Astyanax mexicanus: one gene and its partner. The protein of the gene in region 1 interacts with the protein of each later gene in a pairwise test. Links are inferred from orthologs where the notes say so. Each region holds a gene or a part of one and is shown on either strand. Other genes may lie near its edges.

What was found.
Region 2: the proteins of ctnnd1 (region 1) and zbtb33 interact in binary tests that used the Homo sapiens proteins (3 or more experiments, as listed by UniProt). The link is inferred for Astyanax mexicanus from reciprocal best matches to the Homo sapiens genes CTNND1 and ZBTB33.

The regions. Positions count from the first base shown.
Region 1 is NC_064414.1:44,251,420-44,258,252, reverse strand, and holds the start of ctnnd1 (catenin delta-1), read right to left. Parts: upstream 3,008-6,833; 5' UTR 2,647-3,007; intron 297-2,646; exon of another isoform or gene 272-296; intron 1-271. UniProt on the Homo sapiens protein: Key regulator of cell-cell adhesion that associates with and regulates the cell adhesion properties of both C-, E- and N-cadherins, being critical for their surface stability.
Region 2 is NC_064417.1:48,682,897-48,689,914, reverse strand, and holds the start of zbtb33 (transcriptional regulator Kaiso), read right to left. Parts: upstream 3,024-7,018; 5' UTR 2,893-3,023; intron 833-2,892; 5' UTR 831-832; coding exon 1-830. Other genes in the region: NF-kappa-B-activating protein, read left to right, coding at 4,525-4,844, 7,001-7,018. UniProt on the Homo sapiens protein: Transcriptional regulator with bimodal DNA-binding specificity.

The sequences.
Region 1 (6,833 bases):
ATAGAAATCCTCAAGATTTAGTGGTGTAATGTCAGGCAGACAACTGACAAAAATTCAGGCCTGTTAAGAGGTTAAAATCTTCAGGGGCTCTGTAAGAAAGAATACACCATTTAATCCTAAAGTTTTGGAACAGATCTACCTTTTGTTTGGGAGCTGAAGGTGAAATTGGTTAGCCATTCAGCCATTAGCCTTTACCTGAGGCGCTAACGCGCCAGCCGATGACGCAGCCCTTTTTAAACGAAACTCCAAATTGAAAAAGCAACCGGTTTACCTGTAGGAGTTCCCTCAGGCTAAAACGGTGGTTTGTCCGATATCTTTGTGCTTTATTAGCTGTTTAAAAGCCATGTATTTTTACTGTACACGGTTTTTGTGAATCCACACAGTCTGTGGTGACTGCCGGGCAGAGACGTGTATTTTAAAACTACTCAACCCCCTTCCGTGTTTGACGGACACACCCTTGTAACAGTAAACCCGGTCATTACACCGTTTCAGAAAAAAAGAAATGGAGGAAACTACAGACTACGTCTTTCAAAAAGAGCACTCCATCTTATTCACAACATTTCTTCAGAACTAGCGTTTTTAAACTTAATTCAGAACAACTGAGGCGTGTGAAGGTGTTGTACAGTAGTGTTGGTTAGCTAGAAAAACATGGCGTGTACTAACATGCCCTTCCCTCTCTCAGCCACAGGTCAAGGTAGACACACCCGCAGGCCACTCAGAGGGGGGGAATCAAACATTTTTCCTTTTAAGTCGTGAAAACTGCATACACACACTCTCTCACACACAACCCATCTCCAGTGACTCATGCTAAATATATCAGCCAAGTCAGACGAACCGTAAAATCAGTGAGCTTGTAGCTAGTCACTGACCACTCACTCCACACGCTGACTGGCTGTTTTACACTGTATTGTGTGTAAATGCAAGAAAAGACGGTCTACAAAGAAAAAAAAACACACACACACACACACACACACTGAACCACGCCTGTCCCTTCCCCCACAAACACACACACACACCCATTCACCAGCACCTACTCAACAGGTTCTCACAAACTTCACACTCTCCCAACACTGTCCGTGCAAATTACACACAAAGTAATCTACATCACAATCACAGTTTTCACCTCATCACCAAAAAACAATGCAACTTTACTGATAATAAACAATAAACCAAGGCGTGTTTACTCCTCACTGAATCCCAAAAGAATCTAAAAGTAAAAAAAAAAAAAAAAAAAAAATCACAGGTAACATCTCCAACCAAGACAAGATCACATCTGCAACCCTTAACCTAGCAAACTACCTTGCTGAATAAGGACCTACAGGTAACTTATTCAGCACCAAAAAGGAGCTATATTTTGAAAGAAACAAACCAAATATTTTTTAACAGGTGCTCCCGAGTTGCAGTGATTTGAGACTTTTACTTGCAGATTCTGCAAGTAAAAAATCTGATATCATTACAGGTTAAAAAATATAGGCATCATATAAAGCTAGAAATTGTAGTAGCACTACTCCGCATTACAGATATCTCGTTTTCACTAGTACTAAAACTAGGTTAGAACTATATTACTGGGCTAGGTTACATCACTTGTATAATTTTATTAGGCTAAAACTACTTGTCATGGGTAACTACTACACTGCTGAGGATTCCCCTCATACAGTTACACGCCGGGTGATCAAGTGTTCATTTACAAGCCATACATAAAATGTCCCAGTATCAAAGCTGTGTGTTTAACATAGCTATTAGTAAGCTTTTGCTGGAAATGCAGAGTATGACTACTAATTTTTAGAGTATAGATACGCTAGAAGGAAATGTAGGCATTCATTATCTTGAAACACAATAATAGGTAAGTTCAATAAAAAGAGCACATTTAATCCTAAATAAACAGATAACTTATAACAGCCAAGCTAAATATTTAATACAAATTTAGGCAAAACACTAAAATAAAAAATAAACAGCTCGGTTTCTGGTTAGCAAGCTAAATAACTCCCTGTTTTCAGTAAATACAAGTTAACTACGTTCACGGCCACAATATTAACTACACGAATTATTGAAGAAAAACTTAATTAGTAAAATAAACTATCCAAATATGTTGTAAATAAAGGTTAGTTAAATGTAAGTCAATAAGTTAGCCTTAAGCTAGCTAGCTATTAACCGAGCTATAATAAGTTATCCCATAGGTTAGCTAGTTAACACTAACCAACAGTATGAGTCGAATGTATTTGTCTCGACAGGTCTAATAGCTACGCAAGTTTATAGCTAACGTGTAAAATCCACAATAATTCACTTTAAAATAAGTAACTACATTATCAACAAATCATATCGCTAGCTGTTAGCTTTAACTTTCAGCTTCATCTTCACACCTAGCTAGCGGCAAATGTGAGTCGTGGCTGTCCGTGAGACGCTATTGCTAGCGGTAGCTCGGCTAGATAACAAACCTGCTAGCGCTATGCTAACACCACTAGCATGCTAACCTGAGTGCTAAAGCGTTAGCACGCTAGCTAACTAGCTTAGCATAGCCAACTTCCAAGTTTTCCTAACTAACAAAAGCGAGCAGGGCTTTTGTGTAAACACGCGCGATTTGAGAAAAACACAACCGTTTCTATTAACATAACGACTGGAGAAAAATAAGCAGTTTCGAAAGTCTACCTTTGTGTTTTTTGTGCAAGTCCGATGGTGTGGTTGCGGTCTCGGCCTATCGAAACAGGCTCCAGATACTGTGATTTTTTTCCAAGCGCTGGGAAGTCACCGTAATCCCAAACTGGTCTAAATTTGGGCGTTTCAGCCCGTGCGCACTGCCACCAACGCGGATCTTCTCTGTTCGCCTTTCACTTTACGTTAACTCTATCGAACCCATTCAAACAGATGTAAAGAAGGTGGGAAATCCGTAGGCCGGAGTGGATTTATAAAAATCTGGCAGTCCTTTCATAAAAAAGCCCACCTAGCTATCTACCCGTCCTCCTCCTCCTCCTCGCCTTGTTCACTCCTCTTTCCTCGTTCCCCAGTTTCGCCCCTGACCCTCCTGCCCCTCCCCTGCGCAGCCGGAGCCGCGCGCATTACAGAGCAGGGCGGGGCGGGGCTGGGCGGGGAGTTCAGCGCCCGCTGGAGAACCGCACTCACTGTTCCTGCTCCTTCCGGGATTTAAAACATGTTATAAACCTTACAAACACCCGCGTTTTATTCGTTTAAACGATATTTTTGTGTTTTTCGCGTCTGATAAACACATAAGGCGGGGCGGGAAACAGTTCGTCACACCCCCAGTGTGGTTTTCATCACGTGGACAGCGGTTTTGGACACAAATCCCATGAAAAGCATAGGCGCTTCAGACCTGAACAAACAGTGCGAGAGCGCCACCTCACGATCAATAACAGGAGGCGCAGACTGTCAGTGTTTATTTCCACGTTAATTTTTAACCTCCCTCTGGCCATTAAAAGTATGCACACTGTGCTTTTAACAACTATATGTATACTGCATTATATTAAAAAATGAACATTAAATGCCAGGTATAACAACCAAACTTACTAAGGCATGGGAACGAGATAACTCATTCCCACAGTTTAGTGATCTAATTTCCACAACAAGTCGTGGCCATGCATTATTTTATTTATTTTTACATGATACCATCTTAGAGGCCTTGATACAGTTAAATTACCTCTGTTCTAATGGTACAAAAACCAGGTTTAAGCACTTCAACTTTATGGTTAAATGGTGGGGCCAATCTACTATTAGTGACATAAGTAGATGTATTTATATTAAATTACCTATATCAGTGAATTCCAACATCTTTTTTTCAGTTAGTTTCTGCATGTGGACTGAATTGTCCACTGTCCACAACAAAAATAGTTTAGGTGTGCTGATCGGGTAAAGACAGGAATCATTTTAATGCATAAACTCATATTTATACATTTAACATTGCTATCTTTCAAATACCTTGCCAGATGTTCTCAATTCTAGAATATATTAAATAAAAGGGAAAAAAACACTTAATATAAAAAATATATAAAAAAATGTATGTATTTATAATTTATGTATTTTTTTATTTAATTGTTTATTTTTGGTTTTATGAAGCTCCTTCTTCCTTTTTTCATTCTTCTTCTTCTTGTGAGTAGTAGTAGTAGTAGTAGTATTTGTCAATCATGCTTACTGTGTATTTATGCATTATTGTTTGCACATTTTTGTAAAAGAAAAAAACATGCTGTTTAAAAGCATGTTGTAAACAAGCCAGCCTCCCTGTGTGTGTGTGTGTCTGTGCATTGCATGAGATTGTATCTGTCTGAGTACTGAAATAACTCTGTGTGATCTCAGAGCAAACTTCATGTGACTGTCAGAAGCTGTGTGTGTGAGTGCGTGTGTGTGACCCCTGCCAGGAAACGTAGTTCCTCTTTTACTCAACTATTACCTAGTTTTTTTTTTCAACATCAAAGCCGCTCTTAGTTATTCAGTTTACTGCATTACCACTGATATGTTGCAATGAGGATCCATTATTAGGAATAAATCTTATTGTGTGAATAATTAATACTTCCCAAAGACCTCCGGACTGCATATATGGGAAGCTACTGAGCTGTAGTGCTGACTACAGCCTACTGAGCACAGCATGAAGAAACTTTAAACTGGTAAAGAACTTTTATATTAAATTGTTTTACATAAAGATTCTTTAGACACTTTAAAGTTTTATTTTTGCATACATACACCTTTATCACAAGCAGGGTTTATTAAGGGACCATAAAAGATTATTCTATGTCATTGCTCAAAAAAACACTCTTTTTGAAGAGTGTAGTTATAGGCAGCAGTTCAAAAAATCCAAAAAATAATTTTTTTTTCTCACGAAAAACAGATGCACAGTGATGCAGAGTAAAACCAGAAGCATATACATTTCAACAGCTAATTGCATAAAAAACAGCATTGGACAGGTTTAACAGATTTGGTCAATATGTTTTTGTACATTAAAAGTGCAGAAAATCACTGCTTTTTGTTTAATATGGTTTTGTGATGCACAACTTTATAATGACTGATTATTTTTTTCTTCCATTTTCTTCTTATTTTTCTGAAAGACATTTCCTAGAGATATTGACGCTGTCCCAACTCCAGATTGTTAAGTCTGAGGGACTGCAAAGACCATCTTGAGTACTTACATTACCTTCTGGTTTGAGAGACCGTAGAGTGGATAGTGAGGACAGCTGAGAAGATCATTGGTGTCTCATCGGCATCTACAGCACAAGCTGCATTCGCAAAGCCACCAGCATTTTGGATGACCACACCCATTCCTCACACAGACTCTTTTCACTGCTGCCATCTGGCAGAAGATACCGGAGCACCTGAGCCATCACTGCCAGACCCTACAACAGCTTCATACCCCTTGTAATGGAAAAATGTGTTGGGTTATTTACTGTATTTTATTCTGTTGTTCAATGTTTTTTTATTTCTTTACTTGTTTATGTGTGCTGTACTTGTTCTTGGGTAAAAAGAAAAAAAAAACAATAAATAGATATTTACAAAGAAAGTCCATTTATCTCAGCAATGAGTGTTTTTACCGGAAAAAAGCACCACATATGATTTAAACAGATGTAAATAAACATACATACAGTAAAATGTAACAAGAAATTCTAATTTTTAGCTAAGTATGGTATGTCCTGTGAGCCAAGCTGAAGAACAAAGTGTAGTTCCAGATTTCTCCTGGATGTTCCTCAGTTAGCAAGTGTATATGTTCAGTTCCGTCAGCAGCTCACCTAATTTACCAAACCTGTGGTTGATATGATGAGAACCAGAAATAACTATTAAACTCAAATGAGGAGAGATTAGGAAATGTTTTAAGGACAACAGGGCTTTAAAAGCTCTGCTTTTTGTAAAATTGCTGTTTGTATTTATTGTAATGCTTTAGTGAGATATTGAACACTTACTTCACAGATAAGCTTTCCTTTACTGATATTCCCAAACTTTTGCACAATACTGTATATATTGTTATAAGTTAAAATGTGGGATATTTAAATCTGATTGACTTATTGCAATGTAACATTTATTTTACTTCTTTATTGATAGCTTTATTTATTTTTATTTTAGTGCTTATAACACTCATGCTTATTTACTATTTGGTGTGCTACCAGCAAATATTTTTGGTTTGTGTTACAGAAGTGAGGGGATGGACGTAAGTGCAGAATTTAATTAATTTTATTAAATTAATAAAAACTAAAACAAATTAACAAACAAACAAAATAAACCAAAGTTACACTGAATACATAACTACAAAACACTAAACTTGAAAACAGGAATCTAAGAAACAGCATGAAACAAACCTGAACACGGACAGCAAACAAACCAACAAAAGACTAGACAAAGAAGGCTTGAAACAAAGGGGCTTATATACATGAGGAGGGAACAAGAAACTGGAAACACCTGAGGATCAATCAAGAGGGGGCGGGGTTACAAATAACTAATGACAGGGTGGGGCTAGGGCGGAGACAGGACCAAAACACAACAGAAGCACATGGCTGGGAAACATGACAGGTAAACAGAGGGGCAGGAGCACAAGAGACCAAATGAGGGAGAAACACAAGGCAGACATGGGCTAAGCTGTGACATAACTCCCCCTCAACGACACCACTACCAGAGGCGCAGAGAGAGGGAACAGAGAACAAGACGACAGAACTAGGACGAAGGAACTCATGACAAAACAGGAGACTGGACTATGAATGGTAACAAAGACTGGACAGGGGGCTGAGACTGGACAGGGGACAAGGACTGGACAGGGGGCTGAGACTGGACAGGGGACAAGGACTGGACAAAAGACTGGACAGGGGGCTGAGACTGGACAGGGGACAAGGACTGGACAAAAGACTGGA
Region 2 (7,018 bases), on another chromosome or scaffold:
GATCTCGCAGGAGAAGTGGGAACACTGCTGCTGGACTCTGGAGACATCATGGGCGGGCTGGCGAGAGGTGTTGGCTCTCGCTTGGGTTGAAGGTGATTTTGAACTGTACCAACCTCTGCTACACCCTTAGAGGAAAGCTCCTTGGATTTCTTAGATTGGTCCACGTTCACCCATTCTTCGCTGGAGACTTTTTGTTTTTTCGCCTCAGGTTCTTCTTCAGCATCCGTACTGTGAGGTGGCTTGGTCTTCTGAGCTTTCGGGGCTTCCACCTGCGAGACAAACAGGACATCGTCGCTGTCCGTGTCATCTTTCCCAGCGCTGCTGCCCGTCATTCCAAACTCCTCAGCAGACAACGAGAATGATTCAGTGATGATGGGCATGTTCTCTGTCCCAGACTCATTCTTCTCAGTGGAGCCAATATTGCCACTCTCGCCTTCTTTTGACAAGCCAGGTAAACCCCTGACCTGTGATAGCGGTGTTGCAAGATTGGCAATGAACTTGACGCCCAAGATCTGGCCAGCACTGATCAGATCATCCAGTTTGTCAGATCGAATTCTGACTAGTTTTGAGCTGTATATGTAATTCAGGATTATTTCAAATATGTCTGACTTGATGAAATTCAGCTCAATGACTTGTCCCGCAACGGAAAAAAGCTGTCGAAAGTAAGTGCTGGATGCGGATAACATTGTCTTGTGTGCCCTAAACTTGCGGTCCTGAACGATGATGGTCACATCACAAAATAATCCGTTGTGTCGCTGCTCACTGATGGACTCCAGCAATGACATGGGAAACTGGGTGTCTGTAACAGATATTAGCTTTAATTTCGCCATCCCTGTGAACAGAAAAGAATAGACAGCGGCTTTTATTTAGTATATCTAAGTCCTTAACATGCGTATCTTTAATAAACGGTTTTGAAGTTATATAACTAGCACAAAAGCCAAAAACAGTCTAGCTATTAAGCTTATGACAGCATGCAACAGTAAATAACTATGAAGTAAAGCACAAAAATAACTATATTTGGAATATTTAGTTGTCATGGCTAAGTCGACTGACACTTTTATTTAGATGGCCAATGATATGGCTAGCAGGTTAGCTGAGCTAGCTACTCTAAAAACAAAACAACAAAAAGCGTTTGATTCTTAAAGCAACAGTCTGTGAGTTTTTAATGAAAATGTGTAATTGCATCAAGTAAGCTAAAAGTACTTTTAAAACATGCAGTGTGGTGCAGCAAAAGCTGTTACAGCCAGATCCCAGGACCTACAAGACACCTTGATTTTTTACATTAATACGTGTGGTTTTGCAGGAATGGTAGCAGTCTCTTAAGGACTGCTGCTTTAAAAATACTTTCGTACTAAAGGTAGGCTTTTACTTTGTGTTTCTCTACTTTAACTTAGTTAAGTAACTAGTTACATGGTCATCTAACTTTATTACCTATCTGAAATAAGAAGAGCTGATTTAGTAAGATGTTGGAAGCTAACACTAGGGCTGCAACGATTAGTCGATATAAATCGACCATGTTGGTTATTTAAATTTGTCGACTACAAAGTTTATTGTCGACTAATCGTTACTTTGGAACAGTACCGTATATGCCGAGGACAGAAGCGCAATAAGAGACGGGGCTCATAATCCAAGAAATATTTATTGGATTAGTCGACTACCAAAATAATTATTAGTTGCAGCCCTAACTAACACTATGGCTGTCTTAGCTAGTTAGCTTAGCTAACCTAGCTTACCTAATAAACCGGCGTAATATGCCTAATTGGTATTCATCTTAAACATTAGCTAATGTATCAGTGAAACGGACCGAGGTTAGCTAACTAGCTAGGTTAAATCTTTAGTTTGTAAAAGCGCTTTGACAAGTAACTATCCATCTTTCTACCTACCAGACACCTTGTTTTTTTTTTTTTTTTTTTATAATGTGGTTTTGCAGGAATAGTAGCAATATCTTAAGAACTGTTGCTTTAAAATACTTTTGTACTAAGGGGGGAAATACTACTTTGTGTTTCTCCACTATTACTTAGTTAAGTAACTAGTAAAATTAACAAATGTGGTTTTGCAGGAATGGTAGCAGTATCTTAAGGACTGCTGCTTTAAAAATACGTTTGCACTAAAAGGGGACTTTTACTTTGTGTTTCTCTACTTTTACTTAGTTAAGTAACTAGTTACATGGTTATCTAACTTAGTTACCTATCTAAAAAAAGAAGAACTGATGAGATTCAGTGAGATGTTGCAAGCTAACGCTATGGCTGTGTTTTAGCTAACCTAGCTTAGCTAAGCTAATAAACCTGCGTGATACGCCTTATTGGTATTCATCTCAAGCATGCTAACTAGCTAGCTATAGCATTAGCTAATGTATTAGTAAAAGGTTAAATCTTCAGTTTGTAAACTTTAAATGGGCTTTGATGAGTAATTGACTATCTAGCTGGACTTTAAAACCATACGCTAAGTTAGATAGTTAGAAAAAAAACATTAGAAACGTGTAACGTTAGCCGGCTAGCAGGTTAGGAAAGCTAACGCTAATCTGAAAACAAAACAACAAAAGCGGGATAAATAATGAGTCGCTCCGCATTAAGACCCAGCTCGCTGGCTGATTTTCATTCAGAAAGCAGTAAAACAACAATCTAACCCTTTTCTGCCGGTCAATTTCAGATATGTTGCACATATTTCTATAATCCGAGTAAATAATGGAAATAAAAGCAGACGGATCTGCTAGATGCTAAGATGTGGCCACTTTATCCTTCCTGCTCAGGCGGCAGGTCGAGGCCTGGCCCGCAGCTGGCTGAGAGTGAACTTACTGCTACCCGGACTAGCACGCTTTTAAAGCCAAGAAATATGTTTATATTAAATTTAAACACTTTTATATGAAATCGCGCAGCGTTCACGATAGCATACCTGCACTGCGGAGCTTCTGAGTCCAGTCTTCGGTTTCAGAAGAAAGAAAATAGTGGTTTTGTTGCGGTAGACAACAAAAAAGAGCCTTGTGTGAGCTGGCGCAGGGCTGCGACTTACCATTCAACCAACAGGAGTCGCAAAAGCATCCGATGGGTGGAGGGAATATTAATTCAAGGATTTGTCATATATATATTATACATTATGTATATTAAGGAACACATAAGGAATCATGTAGTGCACATAAAAGTGTTAAACAAACCAAAATACTCTTATCTGGGTAGCTGTTAACTTGCAGTTTCTGATGCTGGTAACTCTGATGAACTTATCCTACGCAATAACTCTTACTCTGTCTTTCCTGGGGCGGTCCTGATGAGAGCCAGTTTCATCATAACGTTTTTGATTGTCTTTGTGACTGCACTTAAAGATGCTTTTAAAGTTTTTGAAAGTATGACAAGATGTGCAAAGCTGTCAACTAAAAGCAAGAGGTGCCTAGTTTGAAAAATCTAAAATTTAAAACATATTCTGGGTTGTTTAACACTTTTTGTTTACTAAATAATTCCATGTTTTTTTTTTTTTTTTTTTGTAGTTTGCTTGTCTTTCGTATTAATCTACAATGCAGAAAAATAATCGAAGGTGGTTTCCTAATGTATCAAACATATTCTGGTTTATTTAACATTTTTGTTTACAAAATAATTATGCACGTTTTCCTGTCTAGCTGTATTATCTTCAATATTAAATTTAAAGAAAAAATATGACAATACTAATATTTAAAAAGTTCATTAAAACCTCTAAAATATTATCAAAAGGAAGACAGATGGTTATTAGAAAAAAATCTAAACATTGATTTTTGGGGGGGCAAGAGTGGCACACGGTCACCCAAAAGCAGTGTGAAAGACTAGTGAAGAGCATGCGAAGTGAACAAGAGCATGTTGTGAATTTGATTTCTGAACTTTTCCTGAGTGAAAACCTTAGTATTGTTATTTCTAAATATTTTAAATTGCATATTTTTTGTTAGTTTGGTCAGTTCTGATTGTGTGCAAATACATGCTATAATGACCATATTTTTATACTTAAACATATACCTGATATGTAAAAATATAAATAAGAGAAATTGAACATTTTGAAGTGCTCTCTTATTGTTTGATAGAGCTGTGTATAATAATATATAATACATTATAATTTTTAATCTTGATAATGTTGTGTAGCTGCTCCAGTGCTGTAGGTGGCGACAGTAAGCACAGTGTGTGAATCTACATCCAGCCTGAACAGAAGGCAGAAGGAGCAGACCACAGCAGGCCTAAACGCGTAGTAAACGAAAGCTGAACTGTTGCTTTATTCTTTTGACGAATTAAATACTTTATTTGAGTTTCAACGTATTGGATATATTATATGACGGTTGAGTATGTTAACTAGATAAGTCGGGGGCAGTGAACTAGCTCGGTTAGCTAGGTTAGCTGGCTAAACATTTGAGTTTAGTTTTGTTGTTGTTTGAGTAATAGTGTCCAACTCAGTTATGTAGCGTTAAGCCTTTAAAGTTAGTGATTATTTAGCTCTGTGGTTTTTAGAGCAGAATAAAATCGCAGCTAAAAGCGGCTTTAAACTGTATTAAAGCTCTAGATAGCTAAAGTAAAGATGCCGGAGCTGGAAGACAGCCCCAAAAGGCGGCGGCGCAGTCGTTCTCTCAGCCCGGCCAGCGACGCGAGTCCAGCGGCCAAGAGCTCCAGACACGACGGGCCCGAGGAGCGGCCAGCCCGGTGGACGGAGAGCAAAGAGAGGAGCAGGAACCGCTTCAGGATGGCGAACTCCCGCAGCAGGTCCAGATCCAGGTCTAGATCCAGGTCCAGGGAGCGGGAGAAGATGTCCTGGGATCGGGGATACGGAGGGTCTCGGTCGGATTACTATGATAAGAGAGATGATGCCCAACGCCAGAGACAGGAGGCTTTTATCGCCAGGTAAACAAACTACTTAAAAATACTTAAAGTTGTGATCCGGTGTAAAATGGACTTGGGTTGTAGTGAAACTAGGGCTGGCCCGAATAGCGTTTTTTGAGCTCCGGATATTCGGCACTGATTCGAAGCGAATATTCAAATATTCGTTTTTAAAAAAAGAGGTAAAAAAAATAAATAAATAAAGCAAATCACGGCCCCTTTAATCCACTGAAAAATGTTCAATTTGCTCTGACCGACGAGACATATTCACCCCGGATTTTTGGTGTTTTTATCCCCCATATTTTTTCTGTGTTTTTAGCTCAGATTTCTTTGTGTTTTCATCCCGGAATTTCTGCTGCCCCACACGCGGCTTATCCGCTGCGTAAGCAGGCTAGGAGGCTGCTGCTGCACGGTTTCTCCGCTGCGCAAGCCAGCCCAGTAAATTGCTGTTTGTGTTTTCACACTTAGGCTATTTGCTTAAAAAAACAAACAAAAAAAACGTTTGTTCAGGAAGTATTTTATATTCTTAAACATTGGTAATTATATTAGAGGACAGTCATTGTAAACTGTACTTGGTCTATTTCGGTTAAAGGATTGTGCAGGGCATATTACTGATTTTGTATTTTTGCACTTGGGCTATAAGCTCAATATTAAATATTTCGTTTGTTTAGAAATTATTTTATATTTTAAACCATGTTAAATTATATTAGATAAGAGGAAATTCGTTCAGACATCATTTTTGTAGGCCAGGCTTTTGTAACCGATTTAGCCCCTACTGTTGCCACATTACCCCTTACGTTTTATTATATAAATCAGTTTCGAAGAGCCTGCATTTTTTTTATCATGTATAATAGAGGTCTGCGCGAGACTGATTTTTAAACCAACTCTTCCACGCTCCCGCGTTTCTGTCTCGTTACCGCTCCGCAAAAAAATTGCTTCTTTTAATCCCGCGCCCGCCCGCCACATAGTGCGGTCCCGTTCCTTACCCCAGTCCAAACACCATCGGTGTGTGCGTGTGTGTGTCGGTCCATCCTGCGCGTTGAGAGTTTTCTTTAGGTTTTTTTTTTTTTTTACAATTATTACAGTTTTCTTAACTATTTATTAATTTGCTCCCGCATCGTCTGGATTAAACTCCCGCTCCAGCCAATAACAGTTCAGTTCTGTCCCGCGCGCAAGATATTCTGACGGGACCCGCGAAAACAGAAGTGGTTAGAGTGAGGTGGAACTCTGGAAAGGAGAAAAAAAACGAATATCCGAATACCAAAATTAAAAACCGAATACCTACTCAACGAACGAATATCCGAATACCCGAATATTCGGGTCCAGCCCTAAGTGAAACATAATAATAAATACGAACTTTTGTCGAATAACCCACCTCTATAATCCCCCAGCATTCCCAAATACAGCGCTTTTAGCCAATACTCCCACAATGCTAGTGAAATGGGCATAGAGTTGCCCATGAAATTAAAGCACTATTTTACACCAAGCTCAAAATAGCTCCACACTTTAATGGCTTTTAAAAGGAAGCACTGAGATCTTTAAAATGCACAAGTAGTTTATTAAAAAATAAATACTCTTTATACGCACAGTACCATTAGGTAATTATCTAGGTGCTGCCATCTTTAAAGGAGAACTCCAGTGTAAAATTGACTTTTGGTGTAGTCAGACATGATACAGAGTACTTATCTTTGTTGAATCGCCCACTTCCCTGCAGCTTTCTGAAAATCCAGTCATTTTGTGCCAGTAATAACTTTAAAAGTGCACATGAAACTTATTATAAAACACTGTTTACAACCTGTAGTGAAACCTAATCTTCGGCCTCCTACACGTTTAAAGTAAAGTCAGGATCAGTACAGTGATGGTGGAGCCATTTATTTGCATTAACACTGCTATGCCCCTATCGCTAGCATTGTAAGCCTGTTGGGAGCATCAGATTAAAGTGCTGTATTTCAAAATGCTGGAGATAAACAGAGGTTGGCTGTTTGACAAAAGTTTGTTCTCGTTATCATGTTTCACTACAACCAAAGTGTATTTCACATGGACTTCTTCTTTAACATACTCATTCTATAACAGTGTGGGGTTTCAACAGTGTTGAGGGGACATGCCAAAGCCCTAAAGCAGTAAAAGTGACTTTCGGGTCACTGCCTTCAGGATTAACCATGTATTTTTCTCTTTTTAAGGCGTTTGCAAGAAAGGGA